3 linked regions of the Rhinolophus ferrumequinum genome follow. The protein of the gene in region 2 interacts with the protein of the main gene of each other region in a pairwise test. Links are inferred from orthologs where the notes say so. Each region holds a gene or a part of one and is shown on either strand. Other genes may lie near its edges.

Region 1 (10,231 bases), on a different chromosome or scaffold from region 2:
TTTATTTAACATGGGGTATTAAAGCCACATACTGGCTTATTCAGGAGACTGGGATGAATTCTTCCTATTGATCTTCTAAAGACTATGTTTTAGAGGGCAGAGTACCCTATATTTAGAACAGTCACCTCTATTAGCACCCTAAATAATATACTAGGTTTAGAATTAAGAGATCTGAATTCCAGCCCCAGCTATGTGCCAATTAACTGAGGTCTTGATCGTTCCTTATTCTTCCTGGGCCTTTTTCTCCATAAACTGCGAAGCTGGCCTAAAGCTCTAAGATCTCTTTCCAACTGACTATTTCAGGATCTTCCTATGGCCCAGGACCAAAGGCCGGTGCACCTGGCTAACTGGCAGTCCTATGTATGAATAATCACAGTCACTCGCCCTTTGATGGTGAGCCATCCAATGTCAAAGAGATCCTAGTTAGGGTAGCTGAGACAGCAACACAGCAGGGATCTGTGCTAGTTCATGAGACAATACAGATGCCTGCTTAGTCAGAAAGTCTGGAGACCCTGTGGCCCTCATACCAGCTGGTTTCTAGGCTAGACACACCGCTTCCTAAAATGTTTGAAGTCTGGTCACCATCCAGGTCCAACCAACAGGGCCAGCAACATAAGCAAAGACGTTGCCAAAATCTCTGGTGTTAAATTAAATCTGATGCCCCTGGCTTTGCTACTTTGGTTAAGTGGCTGGTGTTTTTATTACCAGCCTGTGATGTGTTAGAACATCCCTCACTTGGCAACACTCCAAATGATAATCTCTGATTATCAAACACCTTCCCATTGTGGAAGGGTTAAAACCGTTTCCATTCCTTTCCATTTGGAGAACACAGGCCAAACTATAAATCCGAAGCTTGCAGATGGTAATTTACTCAGTCCCTGGGAAAGAAAAGGGGCCATACATTATCCCTGGGGCCAAAGGAAACTGCTGCTCTGCAAGTAAAAGTCCCAAGGATGGTTATCCTTTGCATTCTCCTCTCTTAATTTCTCTAGCATTAGAGAAATTAAACAAAAACACTGCTCCTCTAAGCCCCGGGAACAGCCTATCAGAATTCTGAGGTAAAGGCTGGTTATAGGGTTACAAGCTTACCTCCTGTTCTTCAACCTTCTGCCCTTGGGATGGCTGTTCCTCCCCATCATATGTGGGTGGGATACTATTGTTAATGTTGAAAGTGACAGTGATCCTAGAAAGGCAAAAGAAAACACATCAGAAAGAATATAGTTCTCTTTTTTTTCAGTTACAGTTGACATTCAATACTAGTTTCAGGTGTACAGCATGGTTAGACATGTATATAATTTATGAAGTGTTCCCCTATAAGTCTAGGAACCACCTGGCACCATACATCGTTATTACAATATTGGCTATATATATGCTATGCTGTACTTACGTCCCTATGACTATTTTGTAACTGCCAATTTGTACTGCTTCTTAATCCCTTCACCGTTTTCACCCAGCTCCTCAACCAGTTCCCCCGTCTGGACAGGGTAGTTTTAACTGAGTAGTTAAATAAGTATGGAAACCTGCTAGTTAAAAATATGTATTGAAACAAAGTCTCTAACCTAGCTGTCTTTACATGTGAATTATTTACAGACCTTCCAGAAAAGCCTGGGTGCCTACATCTTACCTAAGATGGATTCAGCAGGTCTCAAGTGTGCCTACTATGTGCCATCTGCTGGAAGTCAAACTAACAGGCCCCAGTTTATCTCAGCTAAAACGAGCATGTGTGATCAGGCCAGCATCCCAGGGCTCACTGCCATCTTGTATCCACTGGTGGTCTCATGGCCACAGCCAGCTGACATTGCTCACTGTTGTCCTTCCAGGGCATCTTCCAGCGGCAATGAGCAGCTGAGAAGCGGGTGGGATGGAATAGATGTCTCTTTTAAAAAGCTTTTTTTTTCTCCATCAGAAAATCTGCCCCTTGGAGGAAAGGAAGGAGCACTGGAGGGTTGCATCAGCTAAGGACCAAGAGCAGCCCTGGCCCCAGGAAGGGGAAGCCTCACAAAGAACAATAAGCTGCAGTACAGTCCTTCTTCAGAGTACTTGTGGGAAGTTTTATAACCACAAAGCAGGCCAGAAACACCAATTAATGAACAATTTCAAGGTACAAGAATCCACCTAACAAATCACGTTCCAAAGTTTGAGTCAAAATTAGAAGTGATGTGAGATTTGAAACACTGCTGGGCTGCCCAACTCCAGCAGGCATTATGTGCACACAACAGCACACTGTAAACGTGTGGCCTCGGGAGCTGTGCCAACCAGCTGCCTTGCTAGGAAGCCGCTTTCCCATAAGAACAATGACGGTCTGAGGTTCAGCCACAAAATCTGTCTGATCTGCAATGTGATGACCAAGTTGAGCTCCTAGAACAGGGGTGTCCAAACTTTTTTTAATGTTTTTCACCAAGGGCCATATTCGGTAAAATACACAAACAAACAGCCGGGCCACTTACTCGAGGTGAAGTACGTATTGCCTCACTTGGTTTATTTAAGTAAACTAAATATACTTTTTGGAATGTCCTGCGGGCCAATTAACAATGGATTGTGGACCACAGTTGACCGATGGGCCGCAGTTTTGACACCCGTCTTAGAACATAATTTATAATGCCCCCAAACTGGCCATGACTCACCCTAGGAAAACGGTTTAGGTGAAAATTACAGAATTGACCTACTTGTATATGTGGGGAAAAACACAATATGCCACTACGCCAAAAAAAAAAAAAAAAAGCCAGAACCCTACTTCAGAAACATATCTAGACATCCACTCGAAACGGATCATAAAAAGAGCTAAGCTAGGTCAAAAGCTCCCCACCCTTCTAATGACAACCATTTACTACACTGGAATCTCATCCTGTTCCATATGAGTTGCATGTCTTGCATTTTCATTTACTGTAAACATCAGGAAGCAGGGGCCTTGTTTTACTCAGAGCCTGTAGTGTAGTGAATCAAGCACTGTAAACCTGCGATCTAACTGATGCTGTCATTACGATAGGAATTTCTGAATGTGCATGCCTAGAGGCAGGGCATGGCCTCCGCCACCAGTAGGGGTTTACTGAATGAGCTGTTTCTGCTGGGCACCGCTACATGCTTTTGTGCTACCTCCTTACTGTCTCCTTAGTAACCAGCCCACAGGAAATTTGTGTGCAATGAATGAACTACCAGGAACTTAGGAAATTATCCAAATGAATCCTTCTGTCTCTTGGAAACTATGTATCAAAGTACCTGCCTTAACTCAAGCTGTTCTGGGGATGACCTGGGGCAGGGACATGGGTTTAGGCCCCTGGAGCCCACCATACTTACTTTTCTCCAGCAACATTCCGCACTAATTTGGCTTCTGTCCCATTCACTTCCAGCTCCCAACCTCCAGACATCTTGGGGAGAGACTTATGCTTCTGTATCTTCTTTTCCTCCTTAATTTCATCACTCAGGAATTCAACAAAAGCTTTGTCTCCTACAACGAAAATCCATTAAAATACAGAAAAAGAAAAGCCCATCAGTTTAAAACGTACAAATGACCCGGGTTACTCTAGCCAGAAATCTGGACTTGGACTGTTAATAATCATTCTCTGGGAACTTAGTCCAACTCACATCCACTAAGCCTCAGTGTCCTTCTCTGTAAAAATGCTGTAATACTGTCAGTGGGAAGCCGAGCTATATTCTGGAAAAGTGATTTGCAACAACGAACTCATTATCATTACCACGTTTCACACAAAGCACGAGTTCCCAATTACCTTCTCCCACTCGCCAAGTCATAACCACGTTACTTTCAACCACAACCTTGGGCCTTCCTTAAATTCCATTTTTGAGACTAAGTTTAAAGTCGGTTTCCAGGATTTAATTGTACATCTCACCCTAAAATGAAACACTTAGCGGACAGGAAAAAGGGGAAATGTGATCACACGTGGGTTTCATCCTCTGGTTGCCCAACACTGGGAAAACGTTTCGGACCTCGCGGGGCCGCTCTGGGCGGCCCACTCGTGGTCTACACTTCCCGGACCCCCACCCCATTCAGGAAATCTACCCCTCACGGCCCCGGCCCACGTGCGCGAACTCACCTTCCGTGTGCAGCGCGCCGCAGCCGCAGGAGCAGGGTCTGCGAGGCCGCAGGAGGCTGGGCAGTCGCGCAGATCCCGAGCGCACGCTGAGGAACCCAAAGGGCCGGGCGCACGGCCGGGGCGCGGGCTGCAGCAGCGGCCTGAGCGGCGGGAAGGGCGCGGCGGCGCGGAGGCCGGCGACGGCGGAGCCCAAGGCTCGGGGCACGCAGCGCAGCAGAGGAAGCATCGCGAAAGCTGCAGCGGACACGTGCGGCTGAGGACGACTCGGGCCAAGGCGTAACCGGACCGAGCTCACCGCCGGAAGTCCCGCCCTCGACCAGGAAACGCTTCCGCAGCGTCGCTTTGCGGGTCAAACGCGGTGGGTAGGACTGCCCCCTCTGCTTGGGGGCGGGGGGCGGCGCGTTCCTGAGCAGCGTCCGGGGGAGGCCTCAAATCCGGTAGCTAACTTTTTATCTGATCAGCAGGCCTGAGTCTGGTGTGCAGCTTTCTGTTTGATTCGCCAGCATCACTTGTCTCCAGCAGCTGCTTACACTTTCCAAATTTCCATCTACTGGTCTGAAAGCACGCCAGGCTGTGACTTCGCAGAACGCACTCTTGCCACCTCCAACAGCTTACAAAGACTAGCCTTCAAGGTCATCTCCTTTAAGATGCCTTCCTGTAACCTCCTCCTCTCTTCCGTGATAGGAACTCACGCCGGCGCATGCCCCGCCGCTACCCTTCAGTCTTTTCTCAGGAGAAACCTCCTGGCACTGCTGGTTTACCTGGCAGCCTCCCCTCACCCCCACCGGACTAGGAGTACCCGAAGGGCAGGATCCCTGGTTAATTCCTGCCACCTTCCCTCTCCATACCCTCCAACCTTAACCTTGCTCTCAGATTCTGATGGGACATTATTTTGGGGGGTGCAAGAAGCCATGGCTTACGTCAGATTTAGGTTAAGAACCGATGTTCCTACTTTAACAGGACACACAGGATATATAAGGTACCAAAAAAGTGAGTCTTCCCCAATTAGTGGCAAAGTTAAGATGAACAATATATTCTAAACAGCATTCTGTAAAGTGAAAGAAGACTCAAGATAGAAGCCATACACACCATGTACAAGATTCACTTTTAATGGATGTAAATCATGTGCAAATTTGAGCATTATATACAAGAACTGATGTTTTTATAGAGCTGTGTCTATTTGAACAAGACCAGATTCTCAAAATACAACACAAACCAGAATCAATTTGATTTTTCTGGTTTCTTTTTCTGCAGGTTATAATATTTTGATCAAATATAATCAAATCCTTGCTCCCCCACAGATGCAGTGTTCCTTTACATGCTCAAGATGCCTGGCCACGGTTCCAAGCAGTTCTTGATAGCTGGATTAAATGTATGTATCATGGTACATAAAAAGTTTTACCCACAGAGCAAAAACTTGTCTCCATTCTGGCATCGTTTTACAACCAGCAGAAATGCAACGTTAAGTAAGGGTTCTTAACAAGGACCGGCTGTTGGCAGTTCTTTCCCATAATGAAGTCTGTTCTCAGTGCCCTGGATGTTCCAGGCTCCATCGTTACTAGAAGACAGCTGAGGCATGCCAGTTGCTTGAAGATGCTTGTGAGAGCTAGTGATTCGCGCAGATATGGGTTTCACAGTTTAGAAGAGGTGTCACACCATCGTAAATTTGACGAATGGAAAAAGTAGCTCAAGATGATATTGCAACATTACTGTGAAACATTTAACTTTCTTAAGAAAGTTTAAGTTTAAAATGTGCTGTCCCCTGCAGCTCAATATAAATAACCATTTATTTCTTTGTTGTAATTTGTGGAGTCAGAATGGGTTTTCTAATCTGATTTAATCCCTGAGCAGCTATGTTAAAAATTAACTTTTTAAAAAGCCCAATAAAAAACTACTGTATTAAAACTCTACCAGAATGTTACAATGATAAACATATTTCTGTACAGAAACATTAAAGCTACTTAGAAGCTATTTACATTTATTTAGAAGGTATTTATCCCTATTCCTGCTCAGAAAAGAATTTATATTTCCAGAAACTCTTTAGGTACTTAAGTTGGACACAAATTATTCTAAGTTTTATTTGCCCCAGAGAACACCTCTCCATAGAGAATTGGCTGAGGAACATGATAAATCAGCCCACTCCCTATTTTTTACCAGCATGATGAATGTTTTATTAAAAATATTTTCTTTTACCCAGTCAGGCTAAACATCCTAGGCCTCTATTAAATAAATGAGAAAAACACACTTTAAAAACCTTTTGCAACAGTAAAAACAAGTCAATCTGAGGAAGAGCCAGCTAAGTCTAAGCATTCAATAAGACAGGGTATATAGGATCTGTGGAATCCTCTTTAGCCTAAACGTAACTGTTCCTAATATAATTAAATCACAAGTGCCCATACAGCCCTGAACACTAGATGAAAGCTTGACTTCTCAGGGCCACGGCTACTGCTCGAAAGCCTGAGCCAGGCTTAACATACACAAGCATGAACAGATGAGACCCAAAATGAGCTCCAGCAGGCTATGGTCTTGGAGAAGAGTTCAATGGATCCAGAGTGAAGAGACCATCCATTGTCGCTGAAGAGTCTCTCAGTTTAGCCCCCTGCCTATAAACTGCATGGTTCACTTTAAGTAATGACCAAAATACTGCACACATGTGTTTAGACCAATTAAGCACAATAAAAGGGCTAAGTCTTGGATTCTTCTAGGGCAAAACATTATCAGGGGAAAAATCATTTGCTTTCGATAATTAAACAGCCAAGAAGAACCTTTAGTGTCTTTTCCTTTCTCAAAATGAGAACAGAAAGACTGTGAAGACCTAATTCCCTCTGAGAAAAGTAGAAACAGGGTTAGAGAGGAGTGACTGGCACGGTTAGGAAGTAGCAAAGGCAAGTTGTCCCCAAGTCCCAAAGAAGAAAAAGAGATCATAGAAAATAAATAAGATCTAAGAATATAAACACCAGATGAGGTGGATGGGACGAGCTGCGCTAATGCTGTCTGGGTTCTCACTGACCCTTCGTCTCTCCCCTCCACCCACCCCAATAGCTGAGCAGGGGCTCTGACAGGAAAGAAATAGTTGAAGTATAGCACGGAGCCATTCCTTATGCTCACATATTTACATGGACCCAGTGACAGAGAAAATGGCAACTGGCTATGCTGGAAGCCATCACGATTTAAAAAATACAAAGCAACCCTCACCTGGGAAACTTCCACGGGTCCTGAAAGCACGGATGGGGACATGTGCCACAGAGGCACCACGGGCAAGGGGGCACCGCTCAGGAACCTGCGAGCTCTCCTGTACTGTTGTTCTCTGCTTGGAGGCAGGAGTCCACACACTGGGCAGGAGGCTCAACAGCGGCGGCCAGCCCACAGGTAAGAGGCAACAGCCCCTCCCTCCTGAAATTTCTGCAGATGCCAATCTCCGATGTTTTCTATTTAAAAACTTCATACAGCTAGACATTAAAATAGATCGAAGGACAACATCAGAGCTCTGTGACCGCCTATGGTCCCCTCCCAGAAAGTCCCCCTTAGTGACGAGAACTCGGGATTCTGTTGTACTCCATTCACATTATGTAAAAAGGAATAATACCTCATGCACGTTCACTGCGCGCCAGGCACAGCGCTGATGTGAAATGAAAGGGATACTTTCATTTTCTCTAAACCTCATGACACCAACCTTACAAGTAGTATTATTACCCCCACGTGGCAGATGAGGAAACTGAGGCTCAGAAGTTAACTACATCGCCCAGCAAGAACCGAAAGCATAATTCCGACATCTCAAAGGTATAAATGGTAGGTAGATGTCTACACGGTTCCGTCCTAAGAGGTTAAACAAAGATGCTTGCAAGCTCCTGGAGCCGGGCACGGCCCGCTGCATTAGAACCAGCCGCTTCCCCAGGCGCCACGCTGGAAGCCAGGGGCGAGGACAGGACGGCTGCGGTCCCAGCTCCAGGTCCCAGCTCCAGGCCCCAGCAGCGCCGCCAGCGGCTCGGCGGCTCAGTTTCTGGCGGTTCTCAGCTTCCGGCGGAAGTACTCGGGGGCGGCGTCACACAGCCACTGGGCGTCCACCACGCAGAGGTCCCGCATGTAGCACTTGTTGGTGCGCAGCAGCTCCGTGTACACCACGCAGGCGGGCTTACAGTGGAAGAGGACGGACGAGGGGTGGATGGCCACCGGCTGGTGGGTGTCGGTGGTGGCGTAGGTGCCGTCCAGCTGCAGCTCCGCGCTGCTCATGAAGAGGCTGTGAGCCAGGCAGCGGCGGACGCTCTCCATGTCTCCTCGGCACGACACGGTGGGCATCGACATCTGTTTCAGGAGGAAGCGAGAAGTGGAAGAGACCCCAAACAGATACCGCTCAGCACGGCACGGTATTCGGAACACCTGTAGCTAAAAGGCAGCCCCCACTGCAAGCCTGACAAGGTGGATGCTGCCATTCGGCGGGGTTCCTCACCTGCCTCCGCCATCAGCAGGGCGAGGAAGGGCCGGGTTGAAGGAGAGTGGACTGAAAATAGGAAAATCGCAGCCTGGGAGAGTGCGGGCCAAGAGGGTCTCGAGGTGCCAGACCACGGACAGGTTATGAGCCAGTCCTCAGCCCCCCACGGAAACGTCCAGGACGTCCCGGGAAGGAAAGGCCCTTCCCTCTGACCACTTCCTTCCTCATCTCCTCACTCCGACCCATTTCATACACTGCCGCCACATTCATCTTCCTCTAGCGCAACTCGAACCACTCCTCATCCACTCAAACACCTTCCGCGTCCCTCCCGCTCTGGCAACGCAAGGCAAGCTGCCCACTGCGAAGCCGTGAATGAGGCCGCCTCAACACGCGGAGGTCCTCCGCAATCAACTGCCTTCTCCCCAGGCAGAGGGCCTTCGCCGGCCACTCCTCAGACAGACGCCCCTCAGCCCCACAGTGGAGGTGTCAGCCGTCAGTCAGTGTCCTGAGCAGGTCGTGTCACCTTACACCCCAGGTCACAGCTGAACCGACCAGTGGCAGGCACTTGCCTGACCCACGCTGGGCGAGCTTCTCTCTTCCAGGCATTTGGAATCTGAACATGGGAAATCTGACCAAGCCCGTTAGTCTCCTGAGTGAAAGGCTGGGGCAAGGAGTCTGAGGTAGAAGGTGAGAAGGGGGAAGGAGGTATGCAGAGAGCAGCCAACTAGAGGCCATGGCTCCAGACATAGAGAAAGCTGCCCTGGCTCCTGACAGCCTTTTCTGGTTCTTCATTCCAGTCCCTGAAGGCTGGATTATTTCCTGCCCATTGGTTCCCAGAGACACCTCTTTATCCCCTACCCACCTTTTCCCTTTAAGGTGGCTCAAGGGGTTCTGTTCTTGGATGAAGACACTATCGCCTCATCTGTCAGGATAAGCTCAGTGCCACCACCTCCAGGAAGCCCAGAGTCCTACAGCTACGTCGCGTTCTCACCTTCCAGACTGCCAGCTCCACCCTCCCTGGCTGTGAGATTTGGGACAAATTACTTAACTTCCTTAGGCTCTAGTTTCCTCATCTGTAAAATGGGAGAAATAACAGAATCAACCTTATAGGAGTGAAGTGAGGATATCAAGTAAGGCAATACATGAAAAGTGTTTAGGGTGCCGTATTTCATAAACAAAGGCAATTATCATTATCGGCTCCTCACATCACTTATTCGTATGTATATGTCAGATTGCCCTCTGGATTGTTCTGTAAGATACTTAGCCTTAGGCAGATCTGTAAAACCCCAGGACCGAGACCTGTGTCTGGTATATAGCGGTCAGCCACTAAAGCGTCCTAAGTCAGAACTAATAGAGGAACACCATTTCTACTGTCATTCATAAGCTGAGAAAACTCATGAAGCCAAGAGGTGTTCTGGCAGGAAAACTGTTCAAGTGCAAGAGGCATTTGGAAAAATGAGTAAAATTCAGAACACAACAGGCTACTATGAAAAGAAATAGCTTTAGTATTAACAGGCTGACAACAGGCAAGAGCTCGCTCTCAGGGACATGCAGATGTCTGCAGGGAGGGGCAGTCTCAGACGAGGCCTGAGGCACAGACACCCACCACAGCGTTGTTGTGACCGCAAAGAGTGGGCACTTCCAGGTCCAACAGCACATGCTTATGTAAACTACTCCTCTCCCCTACCTCTGAGGTAAAACGTGGAGTGTCATACAATCAATACACAGACACATGAGAGGACTTTAAAACGTG
Region 2 (10,490 bases):
TTCAGGTCTTTAATCTGGGTATTTTTGGTGTTACCTCCTAAGTTTTTAAATGTCAGTAATTCCAATTCTTTTTAAGACACTACTACTGTCCAAACATAACACCTAGGGGAAGATTTTGCTACTAAGTCACCCAGTTTGTGACCTATGCTTATTCAATTCTCTTGCCTCCAAATTCCTTACCTACCCACAAAACTTAGAATGATTAATTAATTTAGCATTTTAAGTACTCTGGAGAACAGAAAAGTATTCCTATTCTGATCAAAAGATGCATGCCTCATTGACAAATAAATTGTTACTGATTTATGCCAACCTTTTTAGTTTGGTGAGCATGGATTAATCCACAACAGCTGGAAGCAAAAGACAACATCACGTTTAAAAAAGCAGAGATTCAAATCCTGAAGCCACTGACCTCTGTGGCATCTTTCATGTATCATCCTTCAATAGTACTTTCAACAGTTTTGAATGAAATTTTTCATAATAAAATGCAAAATAACTTTTAGGGGCTAATAAACCCCTCTAATCACATAATAGAATTTTTTCACAGATTCAACACACAAAGAAAGAATAACAATGAATTTCTCAGAATTCCTAGATTTCACAGCCTAACAAAATAAAGTAAAAAATTTTACTGTTTAAAAAAAAGTTCTAGGGCTGGCCGGGTGGCTCAGGCGGTTAGAGCTCCATGCTCCTAACTCCAAAGGCTGCCGGTTCGATTCCCACATGGGCCAGTGGGCTCTCAACCACAAGGTTGCCAGTTGGATTCCTCAACTCCCTCAAGGGATGGTGGGCTCCGCCCCCTGCAACTAAGATTGAACACGGCACCATGCACCATGAGCTGAGCTGCTGCTGAGCTCCTGGATGGCTCATTTAGTTGGAGTGCATCCTCTCAACCACAAGGTTGCTGGTTCAACTCCCGCAAGGGATGGTGGGCTGTGCCCCCTGCAACTAGCAACGGCAACTAGACCTGGAGCTGAGCTGCGTCCTCCACAACTAAGACTGAAAGGACAACAACTTGACGTGGAAAAACAGGCCTGGAAGCACACACTGTTCCCCAATAAAGTCCTGTTCCCCCTTCCCCAATTAAAAAAAAAAAAAAAAAGCTCTATATTCTTATTTACCATCTTTTATATAATTAAGATCATAAGGAAAAAACCCTTTAAAAAGTAATTCTAACAAAGTTGTACCAATGATTATAATACACAATAATTTAGACTGACAAATGTTTACAACGAAAATACATTTCTTTAAAGGCAAAAAATTTACAGAAAAGCCTTATTTTAATTATAAAAAGCTTAAGAACCTAGAACATATAATCATAGAACCCCAGAGATAAAATTAAAGTCATGGCAATAATCCCAAACACTGCATCTACTCCTTTATAGATAAACAGCACGTGTGTGTCAACCCCGCCCCCAGGTGTCTCCAGCCTTGGCTATATAGTGAACCCTGAACTGCTAACTCCCAGAAGTATAGTTCTTTAAGACATTTAAGGCAAACCTCTCCTGGACGTAACTGCAGTCAGATTTTAGTGTCTTTCTCAAAGTCTCAGAATCATTGGAATGACCTCTTTAGAAACATAAAGCACGTTTGAACCAGTTAATTTGACAAAATAGTTGAGGCCTGGACAGTCCAAACAAAGGATCATAAAAAGCCAATTTACATTTAACTTGTCCTGGAAGATGACCAGTTGAGTTGATTGCAAATCAGAACAGAGATATTCAAGTAATGACATCTCATAAAAATTTAGAGTATGTAAAGAACTACTCTTTCATATTGGGTTATCAATTGTCCGCTTCAAAAATATCACAATCTATGTCCATTTAACAAAATACAGCAAGAGAGAAGGCACATGCTACAATTTTTAAAGCACACACAGACTACCTTCTAACCACTGAAAAGACTGCAAATTACATTCCTTCCTACCCAAGATATCCTATGATTACATTGTGTCAAGGTTAAAAGCAATGTTTTTCAAGGTATGACCCACAAGCCACGACCACCTGAAATTCTTGTTAAAAATGTACCCCAGATCACCCCAATGAATCCAAACCGGGAAGGAAGAGCTGAAGAATTTGCATTTTAACACCCTTCCAAAGTTAAGCACACTTCAATTCAAAACCCACTATTTTAAGGGTTAAGCCAGTAAGATGGAAATACTAACTTAAATGCTAACAAATTCAGAGATCAATCAACTAAAAAGCGCTCAAATACAAGCACCAAAGCATTCCCTTCCTCACTAGTAGTAACCCATCATCACAAAACTGATGGAAAATGTAGCTTTGGCCTGTCAGGAAGGCAGACAGTGTAAGAACAGATGGAAAATTCCTGAAGATTTTGCAAGAAACAAAATGTCCCCCCCCAACTGCAAATACTGTAAAAACAGACCATCAGATGCTTCCAATCTCTTTTGCCCCCGCCCCATACAATAAACGGGTTTTCAAACAAGTCTGTCTCTCTTTAAGCTTGAGCTTGCCCATTTAGTTTCCCTGCAGTAGTGTCCATTTCACATTCGGTATTACTTCTTACTTGGTAAGTGTTCTTTTAAACCTCTAGTTGTTTAATACCTTCTAAAGCAAGCATGTAAGAGAGCGCTGAGATGCCCGTGTCACACCTGTAAGGCCCGTATCACCATCAGCACGCACAGTGCCTCTACACCCATGCCACCGCACTAGCCTTGGCAGCCATCTTGAAAATGATGCCCGCCTCACAGGGAGACCACGGCGAGTCCTGTGCATACACTGCACCTTACCACCACTATTACAAACAACTCCACGCGTTACGCCTAAAAACGCAGTCTGTCACTTTGCCTTCCAATACGAAGAACAATGTCATCACGGATCTATATGCCATCAGTGGGTCACATTTTAAATACCAATTTCAACAACGTGTAAAATGACAAGGATAAAAACGTGGTGGGCACCGAGCCTAACGGCATCACACTAGATCTTAGTTTCCTCAGTCTGCCCCGTTAGGAGACGGCTCGCTTAATCCGCCCGCCTTTTACATTGCTTTGTACCATCACAAGCCTTTTAAGTTAGCTTCACATTAATATTTAGATGCAAAACAAAGATAATCTCTAGATGCACGAATTTCTTCAGTCATCCAGGAAAACAAAAACCCACTACCACACCAGAGGGAGCAACCTACGCATGCTTCAACAATCCCAAATCCGCACAGCCTGCAGCTGCGAGCAGAACGTGCAAGAGGTAGGACGGTCAGCTCACCTGTTGATGAAACCATATCCGTTTCTTACATTGAACCATTTTACTGTTCCCAAAACCTTCGTTGCTGGAAGGAGAAAAAAAAAAACTCACGATTACCAGACATCCTTTTTTAAAACCGCCACGCTTCAGCATCCGGTCCCTCGAGCGTTTCCCCGCGGCCACCTGACAGCCTTTCTCTTCAGAGCCAGCTCGCCCGGCCACGCTCTGGCCCCCACCGCGCCTCCGCGGTCCACGTGGGTGAGCTCAAGGCACCAGGGCCAGGGTCGCAGGCCCAAGCTGGGTGCGCGCGTAGACAGCCGGCGGCGGGCGCGGCTGCCGGGCGGAGAGCACGTGAGGGAAGGGGAAGCAGCCCAGCCCACTCCGGCCTGCGTAGGCGACTCGCCGCGCCCTCAGGGTACACGCGGAAGGGAAAGGGTGGGGGGGACGAAACAACGGCGTGCGGGCCCCGGCGCACGCGGCCAGCGGGGAGGGGAAAGACCCTGCTGCACACGCGGTCAACTACGCGCGGCTGCACGGGGGGAGGGGCGCGCGGCTGCGCGGGGTCTACAGGGGCGCGGGAGCTGGCGCGTGCGCGCCTGCCGGGCACGCGAGCCGGCGTCCGCGAAGGCGCGGGCCTGGGGGAGGGGCAGCCGCGCTGCCGAGTCGGTCCCCGCCGGCCGCGCGCCCGCCGGCTCGCCCCGCTTCGGGTAACGGTTCCACCGCCAGGCTTTCCTACGGCCCAACCCCCGCCCCTTTCCGGCCCTTACCGATGACCTTCTTGTCCCCGCCGGCGGGCGCCGCCGATGTAAGGCCGCCCGGGCCGCCGCTCCCTGCGCCGCTGCCCGTGGTGCCGGGCTTGGTGTCGGCAGCGCTGAGGGCGGGGGCGGCGGGGGGGGCGGCGGGCGGCTGCTGGGTCTCGGCCTCGCTGCTCATGGTTGCGGTGATGGTGACTGGGGCCGGCTGCGGCAGCTGCGGCTCCTCCCGGGGTGTGATGGTAACTAGGCCGGCGGCGGCGGTGGGGCTGCTCAGGGCTCTCTGGGGTCCGCTCTCCGCTCCCGCTACCGATCGAACTAGCGAGAATGGCGGGACGGGCGGGATAAGCCTTGAGATCGACCCGCCCTAAGCATCGTTCACTGGCCAGGAGTGCTGTCAATCTTGCCACCTGACCCCAATTCCTGACTTCTATTGGCTAATACTTTATCACTCCTGCACTTTCATTGGCTCTTAGGCGGCTAATTTGGCCGACCTACAACCGTTCCTGCCTCTGCCGCCGCCGCCATAGAGACCGGAACTAGAATTAGAGTAGAGTCACCACGAGAACCATAGAGTACCGAGGACGGGCAGAGAGAACGTGACTTTCACTAGGCTGCAGCCTGGGCAGGCGGGCCATACATCCAGGATTGTATCCTGGTGGTAGGAAAGGCACGGCCAAACGCTTGAGCCAGGATTACCCGGCCGGAACCGGGGGCTTGAAAGGGGCCCCGTCGACACCTTAGCTCCATGTGGAAAGGCGGCCTCCCTCCCTTCCTGCTCCAAATATGGTCCTTGTGACCTCAGTTACTGTGGATAGAGCCTGCATTCTACAATGGCCGTGCTACTCGTGGCACAGCCGAGTGTTTCTGGACCAGACTTAAACGCATGCATTCAAAGAGTGTCCGTTTTCGGCGGAGCAGTCACCCTCGAGGGACCACGCAGGCTTCTCAGGCTGCCCTGCTCGGCATTTTTAGGGTGGAGGGCGGGGGCGTACTCCATGGGGACCTGTCTTCCCATCCATATTACCAAGCATGTAAGGATTGTCTTGTTAAATATTCAGGTCTTTTTCTATTGGCCACAAATCAGATTTAATCTCAAATCACGTTGATTGAGCAAGCTAGGCATTTTTCTTGCATTTTATTCTTACAACAGTCACATGAAATAAGGATTACTATCCATGTTTCACAACCGATCTATACTTGAGGCTGCCACATGCTGTAGCTGAAGTCCTTCATTCGTTGTTTAGTAAGCATCTACTATCTGCTGGGGATGGACTAGTACATCAGATTCTGCCTTAAATCAGTCTAGGATGAAAACAGAAATTTAAACTCGCAACCCACAGCGTTGCCAAAGCACAAAGCAATTTGGGAGTAAAGGTAGAAGAAGGCGGAGTGCTGACTCCAGGCACGTGGAAGTTTATGCAAGGCCGAGAGGCAAGAAGAGATTGGGTCTGGGGAAATGCAAGTAAAGTAGTCCAATAAGACTAGAATGAAGACATTGTGTTATAGAGGTAGGCTGGGTCAAATTAGGATTTTATTGAAATTATCCTAAGGGCAATAGTGATAAGGGTAATTTAGAGTTGTAAGTAGGGAGTGTCATCATTTTTTTAATGGCTGCTAAGTGGAGAATGGGTTGTAGGGGGGCAAAAATGGAAGTAGTAGGGAAAACAGGCTAGTGCAACAGTCCTTAACCCCCCGCCCCCCCCCCCCCCCCCCCCCCCCCCCCCCCCCCCCCCCGCCCATCATCTAGGCCTGTCATTCCACTTCCAAAAGGCATTCAGTGAATCAGTCCTTAAAACTCTCTAATCCCGTCATTCCTACTGCCCTACACTACTGTAGGCCATTATCAACTATTACTTAGAGCAGAAGCAGGCAAACTTTCTGTAAGGACCAAATAATATGTACTTTAAGCTTTGCAGGCCAGACGATTCTGTCTCAACTAATCAACCTCAGAGCCTGTAAGCAGCCACAATCAGTAAACAGGTTCCCCTGTTCCAAACTTTATGGACACTAAAATTTGAAATTCATATAATTTTTACATGTCATAAAATATTCTTTAGACTGTTTCAACTGTTTAAACATTTAAAAACCATTCTTATTCTTAGCTATATGCCATTGAAAAACAGTGAGAGGGCCTGCCAACTGTAGTTTGCTGAGGCCTGGCTTAGAGCACTCCTAGTTGGTTTCTCTACCGCTTTCTTATTCTAATATTCTCCACCACAACATCCAGAGTGTTCTTTTGAAAACATCTGATCATGACACTGTCTTACCTAAAATCTTTCAGTGACTACCACTACCCTTAGGATTGTCCAAACGCCTTAATGTGGTTTACAGGACTCCGTATGACTTCTCTAAACTTACTCCCCACTTGTCTTTCACTTCTTTGCCCAACCTTCCAGGTGATTTTAGCTGTTGGGCTATCACATACTATTCCCTCTACTGGTAACACTTCCTCTTTCCTTTCTCCTTTGCCTTAAGGCTTAACTCTCTATCCTTTAGGTCTTGCCTCAGATGTTATTAGGTGACAAGACTCTCCTATCCTAACACTGAATTGCATTAATTAAATCTTCCCAGCCAGACTGTGAATTCCTGGAGCACCTAGCATAATACCTGACACACAGTATCTTAATAAATTTGTTAAATGAATGAGATGGTGTAGAAAAGGGATTGGAGAAGGTACAGGCAGCAGAGAGGTCATCTGCGCAACTGTGCCAGTAATCCAGGTGAAAAAGGCTTGCAGCAACAATGTGTATGGAGAGAATTAGGTGGAATCTAGAGCTGCTATTCATCTGTGCCAGCTCCAGATGACTTTTGACTGCTAAGAAGAAACTGCAAAAGGCAGTTCTGCCAACACTGAGGACAGTGTGCCCCTATAGGTTTGCAAGCTTTTTCCCAAAGTGGAGTTAGAAAGACAATGACCGCAGCACCTGAGAATAAGTGAGCAACCTTCCCTATGTATTAATAACTACTTTGAAGAGATGGCTTCTCACGCAGAAATATAAATTCTGTAACATTTGTCTTTATAATGTTACTTAAAAGTATCATTAGTTACTCATCCAATTACTTCACTAAGCTGTCTCCTGCTAAGTGGACATAAAGATGAGCTCTTTCCTACTACTTTCCTTGTAGCCACCTCTCTACCACTACAGAGATGGTACTGAAGCACTGCAGGATAAACGGTTTATGTCAAAATGCATCTCCTGTTCCAAGGTGGGCGCTCTCTGCTCCACAGTTCTGCTAGTCCCCCTGCTACCCTGAGTGCACACTGCCCAGCATGGTGACCACAGTTCAGACAACTCCAGTGCCTATCTTTAAAAGTGATGTGAAAGGCACGGGGGTTCATTTCAAGAATCTCCTTTGCAAAATCACTTTTACCTTTGTCCCCATCTCTGACAGACTGGCCCAGGAACACAGTTCCCTCTTCCTGGAAAGTCCCCCCTCCCTTATCTCCTGGCTAATTCCAGCCAATCTGGCAATATTTACCTCAAATGTTACCTCTTCTCTTAGTCCTGGTCTCGCCACTCTGCTCCCATAGCATCTTGTACATACCATTACCATTCACACAACAAATGTTATTAAGCAGTTACTAGGTACTAGGTGCTTACCTCTTCTAGGTGCTGAGAACACAGTAAAAAAAAAAAAAAAAACAAAAAAAAAACCACAAACGAAAAATGAAAAACAAACCTGCCCAAAATCCCTGTCCTCATTAGGGCTCACATTCTAATACTCATCACGTTGTATTGAAACTGTGCCTATCTCCTGTCACAAGCATGGGCCACATCTGACTTATCTTTGCAGTTCCAGTGTCCAGGACAGAGACTGGCATAGAATGAAGGGTGCCAAGTGTAACTGAATTCAACCGAACGGCCCATCACAAGAAGGTCAACTCAAATCCCAGCTGCTCATCCTCCTTCCTATCTTTAATTCCATCCTGTTTGGTTCCTTGATCAGTTCTCAGTGCGTCCCCTCTGAACCATATTTACTTAGCTACAGAGTTGCAAATATCTATACTATAAGGCTCTTGTACAGCTCACCGTCTTCCTTGTCTCCCAATACACTGAAACGACACTTTTAAGCCAGGTTCTATTTTCATAGAATTCAGCTCTCTGCTATCTCTGCTGCCTGCAGTAGCCTGCTGCTAGTAGTTATGAGTCAAGTGTCCATCAGCCAGGAGAAAGGAGAAATGGGAGGACATAGAAATTGTCTCATGAAAGGAACACTAGGGAACTCTCTATACCTCTTGAATATTATACTCAAGGGAACTTTTTACGTTGGGTTATTCCTTTCAAAACATTTTCCAAGGCATATTACTGTTTACAAGTTACCCTCATGTCCATCCTCTTATTTGACCCTTTCAACAGTACTACGTAGTATACAGGTATTATTGTCCACGTTTTATAGATGAGGATACTGGGGCTCTGAATGGGACAGTGAACTTCTCAAGACCGCAACTGTTTTAAAAAAAATGACCCCAGATTCAAACCAAGATTTTGGACTACACTATTCCCACTTTGTCGTGATCGAGACACATTCTACCAAATGGTCTCCCATCCAAAAACATCCCAAGTTAGGCTCCAGAACTAACTAAACTGAACCTACTGGGAACATCCTTGGAATACATCATTCTGAGGCCCTGGGGCTTTGCCTTCTTTGCTCCATCAACTTGAACCTACGAGGGGACTGCTATAACGGCTCGCAAATCTGAGGCATTCCACTATACATAGCAAGGGCTTGGCTGTGGTCCACGCTGGCCTTGCAGCAGGAGCTAAGGCGTGAGGAGATGGAGCTACCATTACAACCACTTAAAAACAATACACATACAAAACCCCAAAACCAAAACACTTTATTTACAGTTGAAAAACATGGAAATCTTGGGTTCTGAATCTGTGATACTTCCAAGGTCTCTTGATCAAACAGGGCAACAGCTGGCAGGGAAGCAAACACAGGGCCCAATCCAGGTTATCTTACTCAAGAGCATCACCCTGAGCAAGGGCATGCCCACAATGGCAGAGATGTGGAGGTCTGTGAGGGATGAAGAGACAAGCAGCTCAGAGGGAACTGGAAGGGGATGTTCCATGGAGACAACCTTCCCACCTCCTCTATATTCCTGATCCTCTTTAACCAAAGAATAAAAACCGGTCTGATTCTTGCCATAGGCCAGACCTTTGGTTCTCCAGAGCAAAGTTGAAAGTATATTACACAAGAACCAAGAAGGAAGAAACTAACATTTCTGGTCAAGCATATTATCTCATTTACCCTTTACAATTCTGTGCAGTATACATTATACTATTAAGCAAAGGAGAAAACTAGGGTCCCAAGGGGTTTAATGGCTTGACAGTGATGGGGGTTCCTGGTATACTGACTCCAAAGCCTATGTCTTTTTTGCCAGACCTTGTGGCACTCTATGGCGCTCTAGAACAAACAGCAATCTTTCTGTGCAGGTTTTGATCCCAGGGTCACAGAGAAAGGAGATTCCACACCCTCTGTTTATGGCCTTGGAGTTAGCTGCACTAAAAGAACAGGGTGAGTACACTCAGATACTACTGTCCCCCTCGCCCCAGACGTGGCCACACCCCTCCTCCTCCAGAGGACAGGGAGTCCTGCTGTCACACTGCAGGCTCAAACAGAAGTTTGACTCTGGGCCCTAAAGCAGAATGTACAAAAACGTATGACAGCACTTTATAAGTTGCACGGTGTTCCAAGACCTAAGCTCTATCACAGATCAGGCATATGTCAGTCAGCACGGACCCTGCCTCAAGGAGTTCTCTGTCTAGAGAACACCAGACCAATACATTTGTGATCCACGGTGTTCAATGTTGTTAACAGAAGGATGAACCAAGTCCTAGGAGGACCCAGGAAGGGACCACTGACTCTGCCTAGGCCAGGAAGGAGGAGATGGAGGGCCAGGGAATGATTCAAACTGATGTTAGCCACACGCTCCTGGGAGGGTCTGGGAGAGACCAGGATTAGTTAAAACTACATATATATTGTATGTATTTGTTACAAGATACATGCTCGGAGTAGAAAATTCAAGCATATACAGGACAGTGTAAACTGAAAAGAAAGTCTCTTTGCTATCTACCCTGTGGAGGTAACCATTATTAATACTCGGCTATATATCACTACAGAAATTTCTGAAAGTTATTCAAAATAAATAGGATCATGCTGATATAATGCCCATCTTGACTTTGTCACTTAATTTACCTGAGAAATCTTTCTAAGGCGATGTAGCACTCCTTGACGAGATGTACCTCAGTGTGTGAGACCTGGTTATGACATGCAACTGTGCCTTTATATGGTCATGAGCCGCATAATGTTTCGGTCAACAACGGACTGCATATATGACGTGGTCCCATGAGACGATAATGGAGCTGAGGAATTCCCATCGCCTGGTGACGTTGTAGTCACTGTAATGTCCTAGTGCAGTGCACCACTCACGTGTGTGTGGTGATGCTGGTGTAAACAAACCTGCGCTGCCAGTCGTAGAAAACTATAGCAATATAATGATGTACATTGATAATAATAAATGACCGTG
Region 3 (11,293 bases), on a different chromosome or scaffold from region 2:
TACCTACTACTGCTCAGCATCAACTACTTTTTAATAAAACTTTTAAGTTACTATTGAATCACATGCTTTTCCTTATGCCCCTGAAAGCATGATTACGGTAAACAAACCATATCAATTAACCTGTTACAGGTATCTCATAGTGACTCTGGGACAGCTATGGATATATATAATTGCGCTATCAACTACATTTCATAGAAGCAGCTTTATCAAAACATGGACGCTAACCTACACGCAGAAAATTTTAGGGTACTCTATACTTTAGATTGTATTTTTAGAACCCCAACTATGGTTTATAATTGGTTACTAAGATTTTTGTTTTTAAATACAGCCTATACCTCTATTATTTTTTCATTTGGAAACAGATTTTCCTGCTCTTTGAAGGGCTTTATGCATTTATGATCATACTCCTCAAATATGAGGCCAAACTGGTATTGCCAAATCATACAAGGGCCAGTCAGCACGTGAAGGGGGATCTCTCATCCTTGGAGCCAGCACTCAGCTGGGGCGGAGCCCGGGCCACTCCAGTCTTTTCCCCTCTCCTCTCACCTTATTTTACTCCCCACTTCAGTTTTTCATTTTTTTTAAGCTTTTTTTTTTTTTTAATTTTAATTGGGGAATACTGGGAAACAGTGTTCTTGGCCCATCAGCTCCAAGTCGTGTCCTTCAATCTAGTTATGGAGGGCGCAGCTCGCTGGTCCATGTGGGAATCGAATTGGCTCGCGCTCTAACCAACTGACCCATCTGGTTGCCCCCCCACTCCAATTTTGACGGTTTAAAAATTTTAAGCAGAGTCTATGTCTGAAGGCATCTAATACTTGGCAAATATGTTGTGAAAAACTGTCACTTCTTAAATCATCTTCCAAAAATGTTTATCTTTTCTTTGCACATATTTAAAAGGTCTCCATCTCAAACACTATGTACAATTTTTATTACAGTAGCTTCAATTTTTCTTGGTATAAATTACCCTTCATGTTGGTTGCGTGGCTATAAAAAATATTAAATATATTTGAATTAATGGGTACCTTTTTAACTGCTGGTTTCTGTTCCTACTTAGACAAATAAACATGACTTAAGAAATATGTTTATACATATTTTTCTATTTTCCCACTTAATATTTTCTATCTAAACTTTATAAATTGGGCATATGTAAATATTAACATAGTTTCGATAACTTACTGATCTCATTTTAAAGCAAAAGTCATGTCTGTGATACCACTAACAAAACTGTGCTATTTATTACTTGTTAGTTAACATAAAGTACTTTTTTCAATTGTAAACAGTTGCACAACAGATCTAAGTTCAACCTTAAGTTAATGGCCCATAACCTAGAAATGTTTAAATCCGATTTACATCCTGTACCGAAGCTACAATCTGAGCTTGTGACATGCTCAGAATACAGGAAAAATGTTATTATAAATACAGCATTATGCTTTCACTGCGAAATAAAACAGAGACTGACAGTCATGCCCAGTTGCCCAGTAGTATGAAACGCTAGGTCTGAAGGCACGTACATTCTAACGAAGATCGGATTGGAAGAGGTATTTGAAATGTAAAGTAGAAAATGTTATTATGAAAGTTAATTATCTAACAAATTGAAAACTATAATACACTATGACTAATAGTCATGAACAAATATGTCAACAGTAACAATATTTTTCAATACTTTTCCCTCAATGTAAAAAGTTATTTTAATACATTTATAACGTACAATTTAAAAAAAATCTTAATATCGCCACTCAACTACAGAATTACTTAGGAACTTATCCTGCCTTCTCCTTTCTCAAAGTTATTTTTAAATTGTATCAATTAAATTTGGAATTCACCATTCAAAATTTAAAATGCCGTCTACTGTATAATTTATATTAAAACTTCTTCCAAAGTTCTGTGTATAAATTGAAAAACATTCAATATGACTGGTTGCTTATTAAAATAATTATTAATACCCTGCAAACATTTTATTCTCCCTCCAAAATCCAAAAAAACAAAGATAATAGGAGTACAATTGTTTCCCCCCAATTTAGTATTAAGAAATCAGGATTGCAACTGAAACGAGTTTGTTTTTCTGTGCTGGATCAGCAGCTCCAAGTGGATAATGCAAACACTGAATTTCTCTAGCTCTTTCCAATAAAAGGCTGGCACACTCAGTCTGTTCAATATACCCCTATAAAGGGACAGAAAACAGTAAAATATACAATGAGGTTTCCTAGGAAAAGTAAAGATGAAACAGCCTCTTAAGACATCAAGAATGAGTTTATTGAGCTAGAATCTACATTCAGTTGACACTCAAACAACTTGGGTGAATTGAAAACTCCACATAAAAGTGGACCTGCGAAGTTCAAACCCATGTTATTCAACGGTCAACTGTATGTTGTTAAATAGTGAAGAACATTAAAACTCTCCTTTTCCATGGGAAAATCTTGTAATGTCCACATCCTTTTGAGATTAATAAACGTTTCCATTATATGTTGAATATGTTTTGACTTTGAGTCTTTATACCAAGCATTCACTCACAATATTCTAAATAGATTAAAAATTTTGAGTGTCAGAAAAGTATAGTCCATATCAATCAGGGCTACAAAAACCTCGAGAGAGTAGCTCCCAAACACTCATTACAGTTTACTATAGTAACCACATAAATGGAAATTACTGAGCTGTTTGCTCCTGAAATAACACATACTTGAAAAAGAACTAGAATGACAAAATTTCCCTTCTAACTACAAGATAACTAAAGATCTTCAATATAGATCTCTAAAGCCAGGTCACCTGTACCGTGAACAATTGACAGAAAAAGTTACAAATTTACTAGATTAAAACGCTAAGAAGCAGATTGCAAACTAACTTATATTGTTTAAATTTAAAAAAAAACCACAGCTCTGTGCATTTATGTATGTAAATGCAAGATGTTAGCAGTAGGAAAATAGGGGATTTTCACTTTGTATCATTTCTAAGTTGTTTCAAATCTTGGTAACAAAAATGCATAACATTTTTAATTTTAAAAAGTGATATTAACAGCACTAAATGCAGTTTCACAGTATTCTAAAGGATAAAATACATATTTACATTTGTTAAAAAAATAAAGGGAGAGGAAAAGTTTAGCCTTCCTCATTTCTTTTATTACTACTGTATGTATCTAAATAGATTTAAGAGGAAAAAATAGAAAATACAAAATGTATATCATATCACAAGTCACACTCATGTTTACATAGGCTCATAAACTTACTGGTCTACCAAGAGGTCTTGAGATAGCATTTTAAATAATTTTCAACATCTGTATTATAGTGACTTGATTTTCTGATTCTCAAGTGATATTGCTGGACTACACTTTTCACAGATAAAGGTAAACATTACCTAGTTGCAGGAGTCAAAGCCCCAATACTTAAATCATTTGTTCTCTCAGGGTTGGGAGGCACAATTCTTTTTAATAATTTTTTTCCAATTACAGTTGACATTCAATATTATATTAGTTTCAGGTGTACAGCATAGGGGTTAGACATTTATATAACTAATTGCCCCCATAAGTCTAGTACCCACCTGGCACCATACATAGTGATTACAATATTATTGACTATATTCCCTATGCTGTACTTTACATCGCCCTGACTACTTTTGTAACTGCCAATTTGTGGGATGCACAATTTTTATCAAGCAAAGAACTAGCCCATAAAGTCCAGTCGAATACACTGCCAAACAATGGCTGCAGTGGTGGAACTGCACAGCTTAATCTTAACACTCTTCTCAGGCAAACCTCAGGACTACAGCCTTTAGAAAAACAGGAAACACAGGTGGAGTCTTCCTGACTCTACCACTGATTCAGTTCTTGTGAGAAACGAACTCTTAAGCACCCTCCATCCCTATATGCAGATAAAATAGTACACCAAGTTTTACGCTAGGCGTTCTGACTAAACAAGGAGTGGGAGAACTTTGACTATCCTTGTTGAAAAGGTTAAAGAAAGCAGCCTGAGTTAATGACAAGTTACACATCCCATCAACACTAGATGCGTTATTGAAAAATGACGCCGGCATTCTACTGGAAGCTACAATATGGGGATCGGGTGAAGGCATAGGGCTTGGAAGGCGCCGGGGACCCCGCGTTCACCCTGCCGCATTCCGCACGCGGCCTACATCAGAACCTGACTCCGTGGTCACCCAGGCCTTCCCTCCATCACAGAGGCCCGAACCTCTCACCCCGGCGATTCTTCACATCCGGGGCTCTGCCACCACTCCCACGGGCCGGGTGCGCCCTACCTCCCCCACTCTCCCTAAGAGGGGCTCTTCTCCCATCACGCCTCCTTTTGCTCCCGACTTGAGTCTTGCAGAGGTTGGGCTGGAGAAGGGAGACGGTCCCTGCTAGCTCTAGATTGGAGAATCCCGAAGTAGCGAACCCAGTTTTTGCCTCACACACCACCCAGCAATATCCTGCAACTCTGCCCAACTTGTAAGGGCTCAATTTCGATACCCCTACTCCAAGCCTGCACACCCACCCCCCCAGAATGGACCGGGAAAGGCCAGAAGGGACGTGACAACCCCCGCCCCATCCTCGTCCTCTTTTCCTATCTTATTCCGTCACAAGGACCCCCAACTCAACCGAACTTTTCCCAGAGCCCCCTGCCCTTTCTATAACAGGTTCCAGTGACCCCTTTCTCAGAGCGGAGGTCGTGGGGCGGCCGAGGAGGGGTGGCCTCCGTGAACCCATTTTCCTTCCCCTCCCGTCCACCACGCCCACCCAGGGGCGCCCAGGTGCCAGGTGGGGCGCGCGTACCGGGTGGCTGTGGGACGCCCGCAGGGCTGTCCGGCTGCTGCGCGCCGGGGGCCGGGAGTCCCTTGCGTTCCTTCTGAGACTCCCTCCGGCCACTGCCCGCGCCGGGTCTGTGGCCCGAGGCCCCGGCCGGACTTCTGCCGCCGCGACTGCCGACCCCAACCGCCGCTTCATCGCGCCTCTTGCGCTGCAGTTGCTGCTGGCGCCGGCGCTCGGCCTCGCGCAGGATGTCGAACGGGTCCGACTCGTCGTCCAGCAGCTGGTGGAAGCGGTTGGCCACAACGCAGCCGAAACTCTCCTGCATCGCAGCGCCTACGGCGGCCGCGGCTACGGGGCTCCCCAGAGCGCCCTTCATGCCGCGGCGGCCACTGCGGGCCCACCGCGGGAGCCCACGCAAGCGAGTCTCAGCGAAGCCGGCAGCGAGGCCCCATCCCACCCGCGGTTGCAGCCCTCCCTGCCCTGCCGGCTCCCCACCCTCCTGGCGCCAGCCCCCGCGCCGCCGCCCGACAGCCAATCAGAGCATGCGGACACGCCTCTTTTCCTAGCCGGCACGCCTGGAAGCCCAATCAGTTGCAGGCTGCTGTCACGTCACCCGACCTCTATGCCCCTCCCCCAACTCACAAGGAGGGGCGGAGCCCAAGGGGCGGGGCTACTGGGAGGAGCAACGAGTCCTCTGGTCCAGGCTGGTTGGCCAGCGTGGGTAGGTCACGGTCATTATCTGTGTTTTCTCTAAATCTGGATCCACATTCGTGATGGTCACTCCTCTTTTAAGTTTATACATTCATTTAACCATTGAACAACTATATATTGAGCACTTACTATGTGCCAGGCATATTGTAGAAGATACTTGCTTCGTGTTTTCATGGATCTTACAGAAAAGTGTCCTGAAGGAAGGGCACAGAGTTCTTTATGAGATAGCGAAGGAACCTGACCTAATTAGGAAGCTTCTCCCAGTTAAGCTGAGATCTGAAGGAAGATAAGGAGCAGGAGCAATGGCAAGTGCAGAAGTCTTAAGATCGGGTGTAGCACAACCCACTCACAGGCTCCAAGAAAACCACCGAACTGGATTGCGAAGAGTTGGGTGAGGGCCTTATTTGATCTTTCTTCTAGGATCAGTGGGAGGAAAACATTAAACGTGAGCATGTATTTGAAAAGGCTACTGTGGCTGCAATGTGAAGGACTTGAAGGGAGGTCAAAAGGGATGCAGGGAGACCAGTAGAAGGTGGTTGCAGAGCTCCAGGGAAGAGCTGATGACAGTAACTTGGACTAGAATGGTGGCAGTGGAGGTGAAGAGATAGTACATTTAAGAGCTATTTTGCAGGTTTTATCAACAGGACTTGGTGATGCACTAGATATGGATGAAGAGGAGGAAAATGAGGAGAGTTATGAGAACTCTTATTTTTCTGGCTGGTGCGAATGGAATGAATGGTGGTGCTATTCACAGAGAATTAGAGCACTAGAAGAGACCGCTTTGATGAGAATCATGAGTTCAGTCTTGGAGATGTTGAGGTTTGAGGTTTTGTTTTTCTTTTTTCCTTTTGAGATATTCAATTGAGGTCTTGAGCTCAGAACTTGTTTCCCCAGAACCTGTATTTTGTTAGGGTATCAGGTGTCTTCATGCCTCAGGGGAATCTGGGCCCCCTTCCAGCTTCAACGGTGATTAATCTTAAATCGTGCATTGTAATTCCATTTTCTTGCCAATGATTGGTGTAGGAATAGGCTTGTGGTGCAAATCTGGCAGAACAGATCTCAGGGGATGTATTCTAGAGCGTTTCCGGGAACTTTTTTCTTGTACCTAAAAAGGGATGGGAAGGAATCTGCCATCTTCCCACATCTATTCTTTGGTCCTTTTTATGTGAGGAGGACCTGATGCTTCGAATTTCTGTCCCTTAATGTGACTATAAGGATGACAGAGCAGAGGGATGGAGAAAACCTAGGTTCTTGATGTTGAGCTGCTGACTTACCCCACTCGGGAACCTCCCTACCTCAGACTCTTATTATGTAAGATGATAAACACCATTATTGTTTAAGCTACGCTTAGTGCTTGCTTCTTGCATTCAGAAGCATCCTGTTAGAAGCATCTTACTGAGGTGCGTCATTGCCAGCTTTTACTTTAATAGCAAATGGAAAAGGAACCCTTAATCCTAACTGCTGCCGGGCCGTGTTTTACTCACTTATTCAATGTCTGTCTGTCATTCCTGAGGAGGACAGGGATGGTGGCTATCTTATTCATTGCAATTTATATTCCCATTGCTTAGCATTCTAGGTGGCTGCACAGCAGGTTCTCAAATATGTGCTGACTATCTGAAGATTTTAAGATATATGATCATCTCCTGGGAGTCAGCAGAGGTTTGTGATTAAAAGCCTATTTTTTTACTCAAAAGAATTGAGAGCAGATGTTTGAACAAGAACTTGTATCTGAATGTTTATAACAGCACTGCTCACAATAGCCACAAGGTGGGAAAAACCCCAAATGGACATCAACTGATGAATACATAAACAAAATGTGGTACAATGGATTCATATTTGGCGCTAAACAAAGAATGAAGTGTTTACTGATACCTGCCACAATATGGATGAACCTTGAAAACATTATGCTAAGTGAAAGAAGACAGACACAAATATTGTATGATGCCATTTACATGAACTGTCCAGAAGAGGCAAATCCATAGAGACAGAAAGCAGATTAGTGGTTACAGGGGTTCAGGGGAAAAGGGAATGGGGAGTGAGTGACTGCTTAATGGGCATGAGGTTGCCTTTTGGGGTGATGAAAATTTTCTGGAACTATATAGTGGTGATGGTTGCACACAATGCGAATGTACTAAATACTACTGAATTGTACACTTTAAAATAATAATTAAAATAGTAAATTTTGTGTATTTTACCGCAGTTTTAAAAATAAACCATATATTTTAGAGTTAGACCATGATTTGAATCCTGGCTCAGCCACTAATTAACTTCATGCCCGTGGACATGTTCCTTATTTCTGCGCCCCAGTTTTCTCTTCTGTAAAATGAAAAAACTAATGGCACCTGCTTCAGAGGGTTATTGTGACGACTGGGTCAGATAATGCATATGTAGTGTTCACCACCATGGCACAGAGTAAATCCTCAGTAAAAGTCATTATCAACATTACTATCATCCTCATCATTTTGAATCAGACCTAAGACTAGGTAGAGTTACAACAAGGCCTCATCATTATGATGTAAATGAAGTTTTCAGACTCTTCATGCACCAGAATCACCAGGTGCACCAAAGACCATAATTTGAGAAGCACTGCTTCAAGCCAAGGTTGTCTCTGGCATCTTAAACTGCCACAACACCAAGGAACCATTACCACTTAAGAAGGGCGTGTCATCTCCCTACTGGATATCTGGAGACATCTCACTCCCCCCATTTTCCTCCTATCCTTTCTGACAGCCAACTATAGCAAGTTCTTAAGGCATGCCTTATGAGTACTCCACCCTAATTTCCAAACATAACTGCCTAAAACAATTGTAAATCAACCAATCCTGGTTGCTTCAGGATTAAGAACACCTTTAGAACCACTGGAATAGAGATGAGTAGCCTCTAACAGGTATTAGGTCTTATGGGGCTATTGATTAATGTTGAACTTACTGATGGTAACTTATTAAGCAGCCTCACATTTTTTTCCTGACCATTTTTCTGCTGGGAGATTGCATCCATAAATGCAATCTTAAAATATAACTTCACCATGTTAGCATAAGTTACTTGCAGCATTGTGTTTAATGTGATCAGTTAATAGACTGATCTTCCTAATAATCCAAGATCTAAAATTAACTCGAGTAATTATAATACCAAATGGGAAAAAATGAAAACCACACATGCACATCCATATAGCTTATATAATCAGGCATACCAAAAAAGCAGTGAGATGTGGATGCTAAATAATACCACCAGCCCTTCCACAGTCGTTATTTATTGGCACCAGTGGAAATGCAGTGAAGTTTAACTACATACAAAATGTAAGTTTCCTTGAATTGCTTAATATATGAATTCCATTAGGAATAATAAAATAAAATACACTGAAATCTTCTAGATGGACTTAAATGTAGCTTTATTACTTTTAATTACATGCAGGGAGCAACACGTGGGTGAGGACCAAGGGGCCAGTCAGGCTGTAAAAGGTATGAGTTTTTGTGAATCACCAGAGGTTGCATTCCATATACTGTTTTTTGCAACTGAATTACTGTTATCTCTTTGCTTATGTTTTCTCCTCCATAAAATTAGGATGATTATAATCAGTCCTGGGCTCCTCATATGTTTGATGGGAAGATAAAACCAAAGAAGGAAATTGAAAAAGTAAAAAAAAATTGCACTTCTCACAATTGTTTCTACTTGCTTAATATATGCAAAAACAAAAATGTTTTTCCTACATCTAAAAGGATCTCATCTGTCCTTTATGTCAGCTGAGTCAATTGTGATAAGATCAATGAAAATATAGTTTTCGGTTTAGTTATTATAAGGTTGATACGTGAATTCAAATTCAGTTTCCCACAGCAAATGAATAAAGCAAGTTCATAATCTCAAAGTTAGGGGTTGTAGAACCATAAGCCTTTAACAACCAAGATACTATAGGAAAACTTCTAGCAAGCCCAAATCCATTTATGATGACCAAAACCAGAATATTTAAATCTGCACCCAGCCTACTACCATTTGTCATTGAGGTTCTTTCCCACTTTTTCTGGTGGTGAGATGTTACTGGTTAGCACAGTGCTTTGTATCCTCAGAGTACTGTGCCAACAGAACAGTTTTTTTTATTTTCTCAAAGTTCCTAGTATCAACATTTTGGTCTTGGTTATAACTTTCATCAAGGCTGAATAAAATAATTTGGAATTTAGAACTTCTTAGTTCCACATTTATTCTGGATTCTTCTAGTTGTGAGCACCAGAAAACTCACCTGGAAAAAGTAAACAAAGAATGTTGTTGGCTCAAGAAAAAAGTCCAAAAATGAATCAGGCGTTGCTGGATTGGGGATAAACCATATCCGGACCTGATCTCTCTCTGCCCCTCCCCCCGCCAGCTTTATTTTCTTCTGTATTTGCTTCCCTTTTACCGGTTTCCCACCACAGATGGTCCCAGTAGCTCCGTGTTTAAAGGCTTACAGTTGTAAGCCCAGCAGGAAAAGAAAGAAGACTTTTCTGTCAACACTGGCACAGGTGTCCCAGAATTGAATCACAGGTGTGTCTGGGGTCACGTGTACACCTTGAACTAGTTGCTATAGTGAACAGTATTTAATTCTCTGATCAACCAAGCCCAGATCACCAGGCCAAGCTGTAGTCTGATTGAGTCAACCCCCTGAACCCTGGGACTGAGTGGAAGGGGGGTGGTTCCCCAGAAAATAAGTTTTCCAATATCAGCAGGTAGGAATAGAGGGCTGGGGAGGTAACACACAGAATTCCCTGATTAGCATGAGTGTGTTATTGGTACACCTCTTGCAACAGTGGACTGTTTGTTGTGCTCTGCATTATAATTCTTCCTCCTTATTTCTCTTCCTGAAGGCCAGAAATTATATCTAATTCATTTGGTATCCCGTCCTTCCCTTTTCCTGGTCTCATCTCCAGTGCCTTTTATTCAGGAAATATTTGTTGTGTTAATGAATGAGTTTCTTGTTTGTATACATAGGCTCCTGATAAATAATTGTGCATGTATTAAAAAATAAAGTAAAAATGCAACAGATAATGTATGAAAATTAATTAATACATGTTATATGAATCAATGTGATATCATTTCTTTTTTTCTGAAAGTTTATTATTATTCTACACATTTACTAACAATCATAGCTGAATTTTATACAGTGTTTGCTTGGTGCTAACCATTTTTCTAAGCATTATCTGTTCTCTTTCTAAACATTATCTGTTCATTTAACCCCTACAACAACTGAGGAGATAGATGTATCTGCTGTCTCCTTTATTTATTTATTATTATTTTTTAATATTTCTTTTTTTTTAATTTTATTGGGGAATATTGGGGAACAGTGTGTTTCCCCATGGCCCATCAGCTCCAAGTCGTTGTCCTTCAATCTAGTTGTGGAGGGCCCAGCTCACTGGCCCATGGCCCATGGGAATTGAACCGACAACCTTGTTCAGAGCTCGCACTATGACCAACCGAGCCATCCGGCCACCCCTGCTGTCTCCATTTTACAGTGAGATGAGTGCCTCAGTAAGTGGTAGAGCTGGGATCATGAATGCAGGCAGTCTGGCTTGAGTCTGCACTCCTAACCTTTACGCTCCTGCTAAGCATTGAGCTAACAGCTTGGATGTGAGCAGGACATCATCTCTCTCCTTAAAGAGCTAAGTAAGCAGGGGGACAATGTAATTTTGCAGATAAATGCTACAAGGGAGCTGAGTGGGTGTCCTTAATTATATCACTAATAGAAATTATATGCGGGAGTGCTCACTATGGTGCTAGTGTGAGGAAATGATATACTTAAACACCCCCACCCCCCAACTGTTTTGAGGGCTAAAAGCTATATTGTGTTGTCGTGCTGAAGACCCTGCTTGCTGCGCCATTTGT

The links.
Region 1: the proteins of YBX1 (region 2) and C1QBP interact in binary tests that used the Homo sapiens proteins (3 or more experiments, as listed by UniProt). The link is inferred for Rhinolophus ferrumequinum from reciprocal best matches to the Homo sapiens genes YBX1 and C1QBP.
Region 3: the proteins of YBX1 (region 2) and HABP4 interact in a two-hybrid assay, tested with the Homo sapiens proteins (2 studies listed by BioGRID and IntAct). The link is inferred for Rhinolophus ferrumequinum from reciprocal best matches to the Homo sapiens genes YBX1 and HABP4.

Annotation. Positions count from the first base shown.
Region 1 is NC_046304.1:12,970,198-12,980,428, forward strand, and holds the start of C1QBP (complement component 1 Q subcomponent-binding protein, mitochondrial), read right to left. Parts: upstream 4,362-10,231; 5' UTR 4,276-4,361; coding exon 4,050-4,275; intron 3,446-4,049; coding exon 3,295-3,445; intron 2,722-3,294; exon of another isoform or gene 2,120-2,721; coding exon of another isoform or gene 1,907-2,119; intron 1,184-1,906; coding exon 1,090-1,183; intron 1-1,089. Other genes in the region: RPAIN (RPA-interacting protein), read left to right, coding at 1,907-2,119; ATP-dependent RNA helicase DHX33, read right to left, coding at 8,043-8,351.
Region 2 is NC_046292.1:30,051,831-30,062,320, reverse strand, and holds the start of YBX1 (Y-box-binding protein 1), read right to left. Parts: upstream 4,280-10,490; 5' UTR 4,137-4,279; coding exon 3,971-4,136; intron 3,289-3,970; coding exon 3,225-3,288; intron 1-3,224. UniProt on the Homo sapiens protein: DNA- and RNA-binding protein involved in various processes, such as translational repression, RNA stabilization, mRNA splicing, DNA repair and transcription regulation.
Region 3 is NC_046295.1:8,722,581-8,733,873, reverse strand, and holds the start of HABP4 (intracellular hyaluronan-binding protein 4), read right to left. Parts: upstream 5,221-11,293; 5' UTR 5,112-5,220; coding exon 4,760-5,111; intron 1-4,759. UniProt on the Homo sapiens protein: Ribosome-binding protein that promotes ribosome hibernation, a process during which ribosomes are stabilized in an inactive state and preserved from proteasomal degradation.